Linked DNA regions of Lepisosteus oculatus. The protein of the gene in region 1 interacts with the protein of each later gene in a pairwise test. Links are inferred from orthologs where the notes say so. Each region holds a gene or a part of one and is shown on either strand. Other genes may lie near its edges.

What was found.
Region 2: the proteins of usp54a (region 1) and atxn1l interact in binary tests that used the Homo sapiens proteins (3 or more experiments, as listed by UniProt). The link is inferred for Lepisosteus oculatus from reciprocal best matches to the Homo sapiens genes USP54 and ATXN1L.

Annotation. Positions count from the first base shown.
Region 1 is NC_090699.1:45,968,294-45,976,122, reverse strand, and holds the start of usp54a (inactive ubiquitin carboxyl-terminal hydrolase 54a), read right to left. Parts: upstream 3,394-7,829; 5' UTR 3,071-3,393; intron 3,063-3,070; exon of another isoform or gene 2,842-3,062; intron 1-2,841.
Region 2 is NC_090715.1:9,891,833-9,899,935, reverse strand, and holds the start of atxn1l (ataxin-1-like), read right to left. Parts: upstream 3,295-8,103; 5' UTR 3,148-3,294; intron 1-3,147. UniProt on the Homo sapiens protein: Chromatin-binding factor that repress Notch signaling in the absence of Notch intracellular domain by acting as a CBF1 corepressor. Binds to the HEY promoter and might assist, along with NCOR2, RBPJ-mediated repression.

The DNA.
Region 1 (7,829 bases):
CATTTACCCCACAATCAGTGCTCAGCAGGCTCGTGGAGTCATGTCCCACGGACAGATGTTTTCTTCACAGAGAGCTCGCCCCCTCGCTGCCCTCCCCTCCTGGCCAGCCTCTCTCTAACAGCGCCAGGCTAGAGCCTGAGCTGAGGTGCCTAGCAACATGGCAATTTACTCAGCCCAGCCTTGTACAGAACAATCTGGCTGCTCACCTGGCGTCGCCCCCCCCACTCCTGCGCCCTGCGCCCAGCACCCTGCTCCGTGCTGCAGCTCGACAACGAGAGAGGAAAGGCACTCATGCACAGGCTCTGCCTCGGACCCGCCCAGTACTTTACCAGAATGGCCGCAGTCACAGGCTGAAGGAAAGCACAGTGGGCAGTGGGAGGGGACAGCCGCCATGACACAGAGGCACAACGACCGCTGAATCTGGAGACTGCGGCACAATACCAAGGAGAGTGTGACGTTGTCTGACATAGTGCACAAGGGCCCCAGTTGTCCAGCAGGACAGGCGTTTGCTCAAGCTCAGTCACATCTATTTCACAGAGCAGGCTGGGCAATCAGCCTTCCATCCATGTTAGAAAAATCTATAACTGACATACAGTAGTAAAGGGGCTTAACTGCAGCTTCAGAATCACATTATGTAACAAGTGCAGCTTGTACCAAACAATAAAGTCCAGAGGAAGGTTTCCAAATTGCCAGGCTCACGGTTCCTATCTCACATGCTGACACCCTGCTCTCCTCCAAGCAGGAATCCCTGTGAATATGAAGACAAGGCCTGTTTTGTGGCTCTGCCGCACTGATACAGTAGGCCAGGTCAGGAGGAGATACCGTTATCAACAGTTACGGCATGTCCCCTGGTTAAAGCACAGCAATGTGCAAAACAGCACAGGGGAAAAGGACACTAACACAAGAGAAACAAATACCATATTGAGAAAAACATAGTATGACCTACAAATTATCAACCACTTTTGCCATGGTGAATGTTTACAAGAGCACTTTGTTCATAAGAGTTGGGGTGTTAATCTCAGTGTGCTGGCTATAATCCACCCTGGAGTTATACAATCCAGCCTCTCTAAAGATGCCCCTTAATTCAGATGGTAAAGCAGGCTCCCATTCCCCAGTCTCTCTCTCTCCCTGATCTGCTGTGTAGTGGGGCTGCTGTGTGTCACCCAGGTCGGGCTGCACTGAAGCTGGGGAATAATTAGGGTCCCTTTCTAAACGTAAAGCACTTTGGGATCCTTAAAATGAAAAGCTGTATATGCAGAGGCAATTATTCAGTCTTCATTATGACATCCTAGTCCTACTCTCATTTTAAATGCATTACTTTTGAGCTCCATATCAGCGAAACAAATTATACACAATCGCCACACAATAAAAGGCACACACCAGAAATATTGTAAAACAATTAAACAGCAAAGTGCCGCAGCATCTCGTACAACGGTTAACTACAGTATGTATAACTCATGGCTGACTCAAATCAGCATTTAACCGCACGAACTCGATTAAAAGAAACACAGTAAACAAAACAAAGGAATTATTTTGGAAACTACTCGGGAATTGTTTCGCTTGTTTATTTAGTACAACAGCCAACCAAGCAGGTCGCAGTAATTTAAAAAGGTAAAACGACCCGTCACTCTCCTGCAGCCTACGAGGCACCGCCGTTAGTCCCACAGTTGCCATAGCAAACCTCGTGACACCGCACGTTCTTGACTCGTCGTTTCTGAGGCTCCAGCCCGCAGCCACAGGCAAGCGGACACTGGGCGATCTGTTTTAACAAAGATTACAAAGCTACTAACGAGACTGACTTTATTTTGCCTAATCGTATTTTTTTATATGAGGGCAGAGAAAGCGGATCCACGAAGCTTAAAAAGTCAGTAGTGTATTTGTTTGCAGATGTGGCTGTTTTATCAATCCGGAAAGTTTTGAAAACTCTGTAAAAGACGAAATCCAATCCCGCGTGTCGTAAAACAAAAGCATTGCAATAATACGGTCAAGGGAATTAGCTTTATAGAGTACTAGCAGAGCAGAACAGTTCTTAAATACGTCAGCAGCTCAAGTACAGTACTGGGCCAGTATCATCCTTACAGTCAGGAGCAGTGTCAGGCCGAAACACAGCAAAAGGCAGTTCTTGCTCATTACCGGGAATAACCGTGTATCAGAAACCGTTATCGATTTCCCTCAGGATGAACGCACATTTATGGTTGTTTAAGGAACGTACGTCCGAAGACAAAGTTTAATTTATGAAGTGAAGGGGTGGACCGCTGACGTCAGCCCATCAGCACAAATGAGTGTTTACATCCCAGCTATTACAAACACAGGAGGAGTCGAGCCACTGTCCGTTCAGCGGCGTCACTGCTGGTCAGCACCCCCGATCACCCCGATCCTACGGAGATACAGTCGTGTCACGGCGAAACACGCAGCGCGCGGCGGGGCACGGGACGCAGGACAGCCATGCGGTGCGCAGTTTCATCAACTACAGCAAAGGACTACGCCATAAACCCCCAGCAAGACCCAGGATACTCCACAGGCCGACAACTGTCCATGCAATCAAAAAATCCCTATTCCTAACTGCAGCGAAACACACATTCTCTGGGTAAATATATAGAAATAAGACTAGTCCTGAGAGCACGCATTAAGTCTCGCAATGATGCATATTATTTAATTTCTAAATTAACCTGTAAGAAAAAATCGCTTAATTACACATTTGACACCTATTATTCCGATGTTTGGCTTAATCTTTAAAGCCAAGCTAAACTAGATAGCCGTCTATCGGGACTGGCGCTGCATGTGGGTTACCCACAGATGGAAGCGGGCAATCGTTGATAGCTTTAACTCGCTGATACTTACTGCGTAGCGCTCACTCGCTCACACAGCATCTTCAGACGCCAGTGGCACAGGCATCAGGCGCTAATGTCATTCTCAGTCTGTCTCCCGTGCACTTGTCCCACAGTTTATCCCACTGTGCTGATGTTCGTCCTAGCATGACATTCGTAAGTCTAGCCAAAACAGAGCCTCCCCCAGCTCTCTGGTTCGTTTCGTCGTAGTTAAGCGGGCTAAGAAGAGCCTCCGTACTCACCTCGCACTCGCGCTGGAGCCCCCGCGCACTGCCGACCCCCCGCTGCCCGAAAGGACTCGGGTGCAATAATCACCGCCGCGCAGCCCTCACCCGCCAGCTTCACCCAGCGCTGCAGCCAAGGCAACCGCCTCTCGCGAGATCTGCGCGCCCGGGCCCGGGAGAGAGAGAGGTGCTGCGCGTGAGTTACTCCCTCCGGTCTAAAGCGTGAGCGATGCTGTGTGTGAGATCGGTGTATCTCACACGCAGCCCCTCGCTCCGTCATAAGTGGCGGTGTACTGTACTGTATATCGTGGTTCCAGAAAGTAGCAATATCATTTGGAGCGGGGGAGTCTCTAGTCAAAACGCCTGTACTGTAATGTAACAAATCAGGGTGCGTAGTGAAATATGAAATCCAAGGGTTTGCAGCCATTTCTTGATGGAAGACGGCTTTTAAAGACATTACTCTGAATAAGGATGTGGTTTAATCCTATTACAATTGAAGTGTGTACTTCCTGTAAACAATCCTGCCGACTGCAGTATCGAGCATGACTTGACGCCCCTGTGAGATGGTGAATCTCAGGCGCTGCTTGGGATGAAAAGTTCTCTCTTGACCCCCACTGGTTGTCTGGCTGACCCCCTGAAATGGACTCTCTGGTTGCAGATCTCTGAGAATGTTACAGCTGAAGTTTCCCCAGAGTCGAAATTTACTCACTTGTGGGATAAATCTGTGCTTTGGGCCATTTTCAACTGATACATAACTGTAATCCTTCTGTCCCAAACTCGCACATTCCTTCAAAGTCTGAAACATTGAGCATCTGTTTTAAATTTGTACCGTTTCAATGCTATATGAGGAATAATTTTAGAAAAAATGCACACGAAAATTATTTTAAAAATACGTAACATACATAACACCTCCTCCTCGGGTGATGCGGCGGGGTGCACCCGGGTCGTGCATGCGCCGCCGGGCAGGCTGGGAGTTATGGCACCAGGGGCCTGGGGATGGTGCGTGAGAGTGACCACTAGGTCATTCTGCTCATGTAAATAATCCCAATCGCATTGTGTAAACTGCAGTTTAGTGTTTGCCTGTATTATTCTCTGTTATTGTCCCTTAATGTGTAACCACTCTGACACTGCCTTTGTGTTCCATTTATCACCCTAGTGTATGTGTCATCACTGAGTGTGAGTTGTGGTAGAATGGGTGGTAGATTTAAACCAGATTCTCAGGCCGGTAGGTAGACCCCCTGTAGTACGGCTCATAGTGCTGTTTTTGCTCCTGCCTGTGCCAGGTGGGTCCCAGCAAAGCTGTGTGTTTAATGCCTTTGCTGCTGCAGATCCCACTCATAGTCTGGGTAGAAAACAGAGAGCCAGGTCCAGGCCATTTCCTTCCCCAGCGTCAGGGAAGCTGGAGTGCACCCTGTAGACTCCCGGACCGCAGTCTGGTATGCTCACAGTGTGAGGGGGAGGTGGTAGTCACAGTCCTGCTGGTGCTGGGAGACCAGGGTGGCCAGATTGGTGGAGAGCAGTTGGTTAAAGCGCTCCACTAACCCATCGCTCCGGGGATGCTGCAGAGTGGTCCACCTATTGTTGATCCCCAGGCTCTGGCACACCCTGGCGAAAACCTGGGACTCAAAGTTGCGCCATAGTTGCTGTGCAGCTCCTTCCTCATTTGATATTGCAGGAGAGGGACTCAAGAGTGCTCATGGGGACTCTTCTGCTCAACGTCCTGGTGACAGAGCCCCCTATAGAAATACCATAGGGTTTTTGCTGAGCCGAAGTGCCCACACCCATCTGGCCATGCACCGCTCGGCCCATCTGCATCCCGCCAGAACGCATGGCTCACGCCAAGCAGAGCGCGGCCAAGGAGAAGATCAGGGAGGTGGCCGCAGCAGGGGTGATCGAGCCCTCCGCAAGCCCGTGGTCTGCCCCGGTCATGTTGGTCCAGAAGAAGGGCGGCTCATGGAGGTTCTGTGTCAATTACCGATAGCTGAATGGGGTCACCCGGAAGCACTCCTATCCCCTGCTGAGGATAGACGCCCTGGACTACATCACCGGGTCGACCTGGTTTAACTCCCTCGACCTCCACTACGGCTGCTCGCAGGTATCGCTCGCTCCCGACGCTCGCCTGAAGACGGCCTTTTCCATCAGCCGAGGCCTCTGGCAGTTCACTGTCATGCCGTGCGGTCTGTGCAACGCCCCGGCGACCTTCAAGCGGCTGATGGAGCAGATGCTGGCGTCGATCCCGAGGAGCCAGTGCATTGTCTACCTGGACGATTGTCCCTGCTGCGAGCTTCGACCAGGCCCTGCCAAACCTCCAGACACTGTACCCTGGTGGACCTGGCCTTCGGTTCTCCACCTGGGGACGAGCCGGTACCGCCGGCCAGACCAGACAATGAGTAGGACCACCGGCAGCAAATGCGTCAGGTACACAGCTTTGCCCGGACCCACCCGACAGGCGGGAGTCTAGTAGAAGCATATATGTGTAGCTCAATATAATATATAGTACTACGACCTGCACTGCAGGGGGCCTGCCTACGGGCCTGGGGACCTGGTTGGGGTCTATAAACAGTGCCGCAGAAAAGGCCTCAGCCCTAAGATGGTGTCATCATGGGAGGGGCCCAGCCAGGTCCGGGGTTGGTGGGTGAGGTCTCCTACCAGGTCTGGTTGTGAAAGTGGGGGAGGGTGGTGGTCCTGCACTGGGACTGCGTGGCACCCTATCAGGCTAGGGCAGAGGTGCCCAGGGCCAGAACTGCCCAGCGGTGACGGGTCGCCAGCCATCACCACATCACAGTGGGCGGTCACACAGGGTTCCCCAGCAGCTTGTGGAGTGCGAATATAGCCTACGGGGTTTGTTCGACATTGGTAGGACACCGCATGCTGCAGGTCAGGGCAGTGTAGCACCCTCGTCAGGTGATGAGGAGGAGGATCACCCAGGTAGTGCATGTGCCGCAGGGCAGGCTGGGAGTTATAGCCAGGGGATGGTGCATGAGAGCAATGAGCAATGTAAATAATCCCACATTTGTATAAACAGCAGTTTAGTGTTTACCTGTGTTATTGTCTGTTGTCCTTCAATGTGTAACCACCCTGAATCTGTGTACGTGTCCCGTTTACCTCCCTGGTATATGTGACAACCCTGAGATCAAGTTTGTCTCTGTTGTGCATAGCAGGTTGATGGAGGTTTAATAAAAGGTGCTTGTGTGTCAAACTAGAGTCTTGTCTGGTTCTTTTTTTCTGCACAAACCTGAGATTGCTACAATGTCTTTTCAAACCATATTAAGTTGTGCAGGAATGTGTTTTGAAATGGAGAATAAGCAGGTCATTCTACACTAATAATAATAATTGCTTACACTTATATAGCGCTTTTCTGGACACTCCACTCAAAGCGCTTTAAGGTAGTTATGAGTATACTACTAATACTCTACTAATAGTTATGAGTATTTTGTGCATGCTCCAAATTATTATAAAAATAAATAATTCAGTTTATCATCTCAGAGTTCCTTTTATTACTACTTAGGCAGGCATGACTTAAGAATGAAAAGTAGGAATAAAACTTATAGTAATAACATGTCTTAGTTTACATTACCCATTTTCACAGAAGGCCCTAAAATATTCAGTATCGAGATGAAATAAAGGACATCAAAAGTCAGTTCATTGGGCTGTTTTGATGTACAAATCGTTATATTGAGCTACACATATACAGTAAATAGGTTTTCTATGCTATAATTTAATAATGTCAAAAATACTTTACACAGCTCCCATTAAGATCATAACAGTTGAGAGGGAGCTAGTGAAATTTAAAAACTGCCTTTATGGATCCTCCTATACTTTTCTGTTTCTGTGTTGATGATCGGGAAGAGGCTTAGACGCAACCCAACGTGTGGAACCTGAGCTGTAGTCACTGTGGTTCTGGTCCATAGTGTCCCTTAGCGTCCTCTAGTGGGCAGGTTCAGCACAGACTTTACAAGGCGGCTTTCTGTAACAGCATCGTACAGCTGACGCACAGCCCTGAAAACGTGCACCTCAGCCACCAACAAGATCTTCATGATTTCAATAAAACAAATGTTTGCGCTACTACAGCCGAAGGCCGAAGTGGGACAATACTGGGGAGTCCTCTATATCTGCACGGTGAGGGGAACCGTTTCAGGGTTCGTATTCTGAGCCTGGGTGAGGTGCCGCTCTGATTTAACACAGAAGCGTGTTAAATTTAGAAGTCCGATGCTGATGAATTTGGAATCCCGCAGGCGGGTGGTAATTTGCCAGCGAGTGCGATAAAGCCCTCTAGCAGACAGATCAGTGTCACTCTAGGCTGGGCGCGGAGAGAACAGTCTTGCGGCTGCTCAATTAAATGCCGTGATCATGATAAGTATCTTCTGATGTGGCTTTTGACAGAACTCCGGTTTTCTCCAGATGATACGGCTCCTTTAAATTCTTATCTTTCACAATCCTAATTTAATTCCCACCAAACTACCTGAGTCAAATCAATTCAGTCATTACTAATTTTATTTAGAGGAGTTCTGCTGACGTGGTAGCAGAGGAGCACAGTAGTTAGCGCATTGCTACCTTGCAGCACTAGGGTCCTGGGATGAATTTCAGCCCTGGGGTGCTGTCTGTGTGGAGTTTGTATGTTTTCCCGTGTTTGTGTGTGTTTTCTCTGGGTGCTCGGCTTTCCTTCCACAGTCGAAAGGCGAGCTGGTACTGTAGGTTAACTGGCTTCTGGGAAAACTGGCACTGGAGTGAGTGAGTGAGTGAGTGAGTGAGTGAGTGTGTGTGTTTGTGTCTGTCT
Region 2 (8,103 bases), on another chromosome or scaffold:
ACAGGAAGCTGAGATACTGCCTCAGGAAACAGGGACACAGTGATTGAAGGAAACTAAGACGTAGTACGTATCCGTCAGCAAATCAGAAGCCAATGAACCGAATAGCCTCTTCTGTTACTTTCCTATTCAGTATAAAGTAGGACTATGAAATTATCACGCCAAAGTACAGAAATAAGATTAAAATCAACAGAGAGGATTGTAAGACACTTCACAGTCTATACTACTCTTAAGGCCTACAGGAAGGCTGGTTAAGATTGTAATGGAAAGAACATTAGTCAAACTAATGACCTTTCAGGACTCCACAGTCAGAAAATGATCATGATTTCATTCAGTGCAAATCTCTCTGACTTTGACAAATGTGTGCAATACGTTGTCAAGTAATAATACCTACTTATTATCCTAGATGTTTCCTCTGAAAGATGCTGGAGGAGAGTGGCTACAGCCACGATTAGACAGGATGATGCAGACATAAGGAGCAACCTTTGCTTTTAAAAAAGCTTTTAGTTTTAAATCAACATCAACAGGTAATTCAATCTTTTTGAAACAAACCTTAGTACATCACATCAGTTGTTCAAAAAAAATGAACAGAAAATATAGAACATATACAGAAATAGTAACATACAATGGAGCAGTGATTGTGGCCACGAATACACATCTGAATCAGAATCACTTTTATTCGCCAAGTATATTTAGTTTACAAGGAATTTCCTCTGGTGTTCTTGATGCATCAAAAACATGCTACATACTGTATGCCATACACAAACAAGACAACAGACATGACTAAAAGCACACACAACTAGGAATTTTGGTGAACCAGAAAGGCAGCCCCATGAAAGAATCTGTTCAAATACCAGGTGTTTCTTGTTTTAATAGACTAGTAGTGTCTTCCTGAGGGACGTTTCTGAAACAGGGGTTAACCTGGGTGGGGTCATCAGCAGTCTTTCCTGCCTGCTTTCTTGCTCTAGAATCTCCAGTAGAGAGCATCTGACAGCCAAAGGCCGCAGTGTGTCTGCAGTTCCCCTCATGAGTGGACAGACGCATTGCCAAACCAAACAGCTACAGAGGCAGTCAGAATGCTCTCAATAATGGCTCTGTAAACCTGTATTACAATTGGCTGAGAGACCCCAATTTTTCAGTTTGGGCAAAAAGTACATTTGCTGCTGTGCTTTCTTTGTGATACTGGAGATATCTGTGTCCCATGTAAGGTTATTAGACATCATTATACCCCAAAACTAAAGAACTCTATCACACCCATAGCCACATCATTGATTACTAGGGACTGAGGTTTTGGAGAATGTTTCCAGTAAGCAACCAGCATTTTCACTGTATGGAAGGTATTAAGCTTTGTGTGCTTGTTACTACTCTATGATACCAATATCATATTATGATATTCATTTGTGAATAGACCTACAAGGATGGTGTCTTCCGCTGCTTGATTAGTTTGATGGAAGAGTCACTTGAGGTATTGCCATTGGTGTACAAGAAAGAGTAATGGGGAAAGTATACATCCTTGTGGAAAACCAGTACGCACAAACAGACAGACTGTAAGATTGCGCAGAGAAAAGACGAACCCTCACAAAATAATTCAAGTTCACAACCTTTTTGATTGTTTTTCTAAATTCACTTACTGGTCCTTTTCAGACTTCAGAATTGTCCCTGTGTACCATTTCTCCTCCATTTGTCACAGCCATTAAAACAGACCCATATTCAAAAAGCTATTTACAAGGTACAGTATGTGGGTCAATAACATTCATTTCTGCTGACTGTAGAAATGTTCAAGGATCACTTCAGAATATTAAGCGATGTGAAATGCATATTGTTTCTACTGTTTCTGGAAGGAGTGACAGTATATACAGTATATACAAGGATAAAAATTCCAGCATGCTCTTGAGGTGTTTGTCTTTAATTATTATATGTCACCAGGTGACTTTCTCACCCTATGGGATAAACAGGAACTAAAATGTTGAATTTGTGTTCCCACTATTATATACATTAAACAGTTAGCCTATAAAAGTTGTCAGGAGTAGACACAGAGCACATTTTATTATTAATTAACGGATTTTACCTTTCCTACAATTCCATTTGAAAAAAATAATCTATAAATCCCGATTTTAACAAATGACGTAGTGCAGACGTTAAACAGTAAGGGACTTCTTAGTGCAAAAAACTTTTTTTGTGCAGTCTTTTGTGCTTTAACTGCACAAAAGAATTACAAACATGACACGCTGACAAATACTATTTAAAAAGTTACTTGGCACCTAAAATGACTTAAAACTCACTCAGTTATGTCACATTTCTTGCACATTCACAGAAGCAAGAAGCTCGCCACGAGCTGCTTTTCCATACGTTTGTTTTGGGCTCATCAGTGATTTCCAGTCATATCTTCCCACTGCCGCACTGAGATTTTGACAGTAGTGAATGAAGTGATATTCACTGTTCACTAGAAATCTGATTACACCCACGTAAACCGCTAAGACAGAGAGCTCGCTGCCGATTCTGATGACTAACAGAAAAATGTTGTGAATCGTTCTTCCCCAGACAGAGACTCGGGCGATGACGAATAGCATGAGGGTCAGAAACGAGACGCATAAAGGAGAGGGCGGACTCTTCACCGCACATTTTACTACCACTAGTACTACCGGTAAAGACAGACTTGTGCAAATCCCGATGAACTAGCCTGAGTGAAGTCACACAGACATCCCTATTACACACTCATCAATTTGACAATGCATCTGTTCCACCACTACAACTGTTTTTACTGTTATTGTACCTAGTCTATTACTAATAACAACGATAAAAGCAGATACACTTTTCATTATTAAAAAATACAATTTAAAATTAGTTAACATGGTCGCTAAACCGCAACAATAATGTTGACTTGGTTCTCGCTGTTACAATTGACAGCGTTCATTTTTCCCGCACACTGATATGTCAAGGAACTGTTATTTTTTTTAATGCTTACATTATTTTCTTAGCCCGAACAACATGTACCATGAAAAACTTCTTAAAACAGTGCGGTGGCGATCACATAGAAAGGCCGAGCAAAACAATCCACGGTAGTTTTTTAGTTCTGTTTGTCTTTCTCGCTCACAATCTTTGACTTCTTTTCTACAGATTTCTAGTCAAAGAGTTTGGCTCAGCTCTTACCTCGACATCTCATTCTGGTCATCCAGCTCTTGGTTTTTGTCTGTTTGTCAGTTAATTCAATTTAAATGCTGGTCGAATCAGAGTTGACAAGTTCTGCCCATCTCAATGCAACCCAGCAGGCGAAACCACAGCGGCGCTTGGGGATGACGTCACGCTCGAAACTCCAGCTTCCTGAATGATCTCACTGCTAAAGCACAAAGTGCATTGGGAAACGAGACGAAGATTTCGACGAGGATGTTCTCCAGTTCCCCCTACGGATTGGAGGTCTAACAGTCAGAGGTTTGTCGTAGTAAAATGTTTTTTTTTCCTGAAACATGACATTGCCACACATCATTTCTATATTATGGTTGTAATGGAAATTAATCAGCAATTTGCTGCGTTTCCATATTCTTCCAGGTTTTTCTGCTATGTGTCTCATATGCATAGAGTTTTGCGAGATCCTCAGGATCTCTTTAGTTGCAGTGGCATTCAATATTTCATTTTGTAACCGTCCTGTGAGACAATGACACTCATCCAAGGAAGTAAATGTGATATTGAATCTTCTTTTGGCTAGACAATCACTTCACATTTGTACCGCAAGAGGGAGCCGTTGTACAATCTTTGTAAAATTGTATTTATTTTTTAAGTAGTGCTGCTACTTCTGCAGCACCGGTGACGGTAATCACAAAATAACTGTTCTCTTTATGTGAAAACTATTTTAAAAAGTTTCAACAGTAGGGCTGTACTAATTCCTTACGTGACGACGGCTCTCTGATCCGACTAATATATTCCATTAGTAACCGCAACACATTTTTAAATTTACCGGGTGACCTAAATCGTGGATGGGTAACTCCAAGTTTGAGATCCTCAAAGCATCCCCCCCAACTGCTCGTAACTGAAATGATTTATATTTAGACGAATGCGAACTACTTGGTTTCATATATCAGAATCAGTGACCAGCCTGGCTTTCCCTGACCTAAATACAGTAATTACCAGTTGCCAGCCTCTTTGAGACACAATGGGTTTTTTTACTTTGCCTGTATACTGAAGCGGATTAACATGAAAGATGTGCACGTTTCTCGAAGTATCTGGTAGCTACGGGACCAGCTATCTTCCCTATCAACAAGCAGTCCTTGCAACCTAAATGTTTTTCCTCTTCCCTAGTCGAAAAAAAAACTGTTTCCTATTTTCCTATAACATGAAAAAAAATGTTTCCTATTCATTACATCAAAATAATGTTATTATGCCACGTGGCAGCCACTTATTTACAGCACAATGATTGATCCTGAACTCGATGATGATGGATGTTAAGAATGCATTAATTTAATATTCAATCACCCAGGCGAATGCAAGGTGAAGAATCTCAAGTGTGGACAGAAATATTATACTGTATGTATGTCTGGTTCAGTTAGGTAATGTGGTGCCTCATGATACTATGAAAGAGGGACAGCATTGTATATAGTGCTGTTCCTCTCTCACTCTGTCCTTGTGTCTGTTGTCAATCTTTAGTCTCACAGTAATTATCCTGCCACTTACTAAATTCCACATTTGTCTTTATCTGTAGAGATTGTAAGCATGGTTCTTGTCTATTTGATTTTTCTTCCAAACTGTGGCATTATATGATCAGCACACACTGTACAGTCTGTGAAAGCTATACAAACACCAGGCTTATTATGCCCTTCATTGTGAGGCTATATTCGCAGGTGGTTCTCTGCACTGACGTTGTTTGAGAATCAAGGACTATCAGATTTGTTTAGCAGTGGTCAGGGTTGTTTCTCTGGCTTTTTTTGTAGTCCCTTTGCCTTTGCTCTTTGTTTTTATAGTCATGGTTTAACCCAGTCAAAGATGAAGAATGAAGACAGATGTTGTCAACAGAAAAGCTCTGTAGTGTTATCAGTATTTCCTGTTTAGAAAAGTTTAGAATATGATTTCCTTTTTGTGTTTTAAAGCAGTTTTAAAATATGGATTATATCCTAGGGAAACAATGTTAATTTAGGTCTCCTTTTGAACAAGACATTACCCACTAGAATTATTGTAAATGAACAAGTGAAAGAACTCTAAATTAACTTATAATTAACTGTTTAAATTGATCTGTGAATAAACTGCCTCTCTATGGCATATGCAGAAAATCAAGAGAAACCTATCAATCTGGTTGCATTAAATAAAGTATGTCGATTTTGGATATATGGATTAAATACTTTTGGTATAATTCGTAAGACCACACATGACCTACTATGATACACTTGAGCAACTTTGATTTATTGAAGAACTAAGTCACTTCTCGCTATCAGTGAGCTACTGCAAAAGATAGTACTTTTCCCAATAACTGTTATGTATTTCTTGCATTTACAAATGATAAATGCAACACATTTCTTTTGATGCTCAATATTTACTATCTCCTTTTTACAATGTTATGCGTGTAAAAATACTAATGCTGTTTTTTTTTATTTTGCTGTGCCTTCATGTGTATGTCAATGCATTCTACTGCATACTGCATTTCTATGTAATAAAGTGTACATACACCTGACATAACATTTTCCTTTTAGAACATTAATATATGTAAAATGAAGAAGGGCACAATTGGAATATTTATTTATCTCATGAGTAATTGCTGTGCCAATTGATGAAAGATATCTACCTGTTTCAGAGGAAGGAAGAAAATAATAGGCTAATTTACTTAAGCCTCTCTCTGGAACCGTTAAATTTGAAGAACAAAATCTGCATAAACGTTGTAAGAAAAGAGATAACGACAGATCATCTTGCTCACTGTTGTTGGTATGTGCATCTCATTTATCCCTTACTTATCTGTTTGAGGCACAGGTAGGTGTGATGTTTAGCAGACTCAGTATGGAGGAGAATTAATAGTGAAGGAGAGGGGGGTGTTCAGTTCTGCAGCCACACTGAGTCACCAGGGCTCGAAGCCAGACTGCAGGACAGCAGGGGCCAGGGGCAGTGGAGGCAGCTCTGTGGGATAGCCTCTGCACGGTTCTTCACTTTCCTCTGTTTAGAGGGGAAGTCCTCTGCCTAGATGTTCTGCTTGTAGTCCCACACCTTCCAGAACAGATTTATCGGTACCGGTTTCAGCAACAAAATCAAATAGAGGTTTTTTTTTTCAAGTCCTTGGTCTGTTTTAATACAGACATTGTAATCTCCTCCAGGAGGACGTTAGAGAAAGTGAATCCAATAGCAGAAGACATTTTGATTTCACTTGTATAATATAAGTCAGTCACAGAATATTCCAGCCAGAACTTACTTTAAAATGTTGCCTCTTTCAGATTGAGGAGCTCTCAGCAGCATCTGTTTCTCAATCAGGTAGACAGTTCTAAAGGATTTTTTTAACATATAAAACTGTTCACAGTAACAGCTCAAACACAGTTCCCATTTCCACACCAGCAGAAAGCGCTTGCCAAGACCTTGTTGTACACCTTTTGACAATATAATAATAGCGCTCTATTAAAAGCCGTCTGATTGGTTTGCTTAATGGACTTATCTTAGATAACAGCTGATTGCTAAAGGTCCTCCAGCTGGATGTTTTTTTGCTGCATACAGCATGACTGTGAAGGTTTACAGAGCAATTGTGTATGTCAGAAGGCTCTTAAAAGGACCGTATGATCTCTTTCTAAAGAGACAAGAAATTGCACTTCAGGATCACCTTTCCAGTGAGAGACAAAGAATGATGGCTGCACGTCTTCTGCCCAGTTACCTTAACACATTCTGCCATCTTCATGTATTTCCACTGTCCAGATCATGGCACTGCGTTCTGACTCCAAGCGTGAATGTCCTGATGGCCTGTGAGCTCACACTTTCAGACCAGGAAACATCAGCTCTGGAACTGACCTACCTAAATTCGCCTGGTCTCCATTAACACGATTAAAACAAGTCTTCTTTTGTTTTATTCTCATTAGCTGTATCCCTGTTCAGATGTGGCCAAGAGTAGCAATGTCCAGGAGACCTGTGAAACCTCAGTGAGATACAGGACAGCAGGATCCCAACCGCAGACTTTGTACCAGTCGTTTCCCCCCCACCTGAACAGGGGTGATGATCATTCTTCATAGACCTTTGGGAAACGCAGTTCAGTCAAGGATTTCCATCTTGCACCTCTCCCCTTGTTCTATATTGTTTGATTAACCACATCTCTGGCATAATTCTAAATATAATGCAGCTTTAGGATTTTTCTCGACATTTGCTATATCATTACTGCTGTATTTGTAAACCCCCTACTTTTGATAACTGACATTGCTAAAGGACTCATTTAGCAATGTCTGGGCAAGAAACCTTCAATTTTATAAACAAATTCAAATAAAGAAAGTAAATGTCTCACCGTATGTAAAAACAGATATATTAACAGTGAGAGAGCTCTAGTTTCAAACCCTCATAGAGGTAGAGATAAGCTTAGTGACCGAATTTGACTACAAGACGACCTTCTGAAACTTTCCTGTCAGCAGATAAAATTTGTGGTAGAACTTCCTTTTTGTCAGATCAACTCAAGCTGTTTTTAAAAACAATTTTAGAACAATGTGACAGTATAGCACAGGGACTGGGAGTCCTTCACTGTAGGCCGGTTTGCTCCCTCTGAACATCATCTGGACAGTCATGGACAGTCCAGGGTCAAAAGTCCATCCCCCACCGGTCTGCCCCCTCCTCTTTCTCTGCCCCATTCTCTAAAGGTTCTCTTTTGTCTATCCCTCTACCTTCTGTATTTCATTATTCTCTAATACTGTTTCCTGCAATAAATGTTTTTAACCCAAGACAAACAACTAGTTTTTTGCAATATTCATGCACAGCTAAATGCCTAATAACATTTATATACAGTAGAAAAACAAAAGTTCAGTTTTATTTGCATGGGTAGATTTGACTGACGTCAAAAGCTCCTGTAGTGGTCCAAAGTAAAGTCAGGATGTATCTTTTGTTTTATCCCGTTTAACTGTGTAAATAAGCATGTTTCTACACACAGACCTTTCTGCTGTCCTCTGAGCA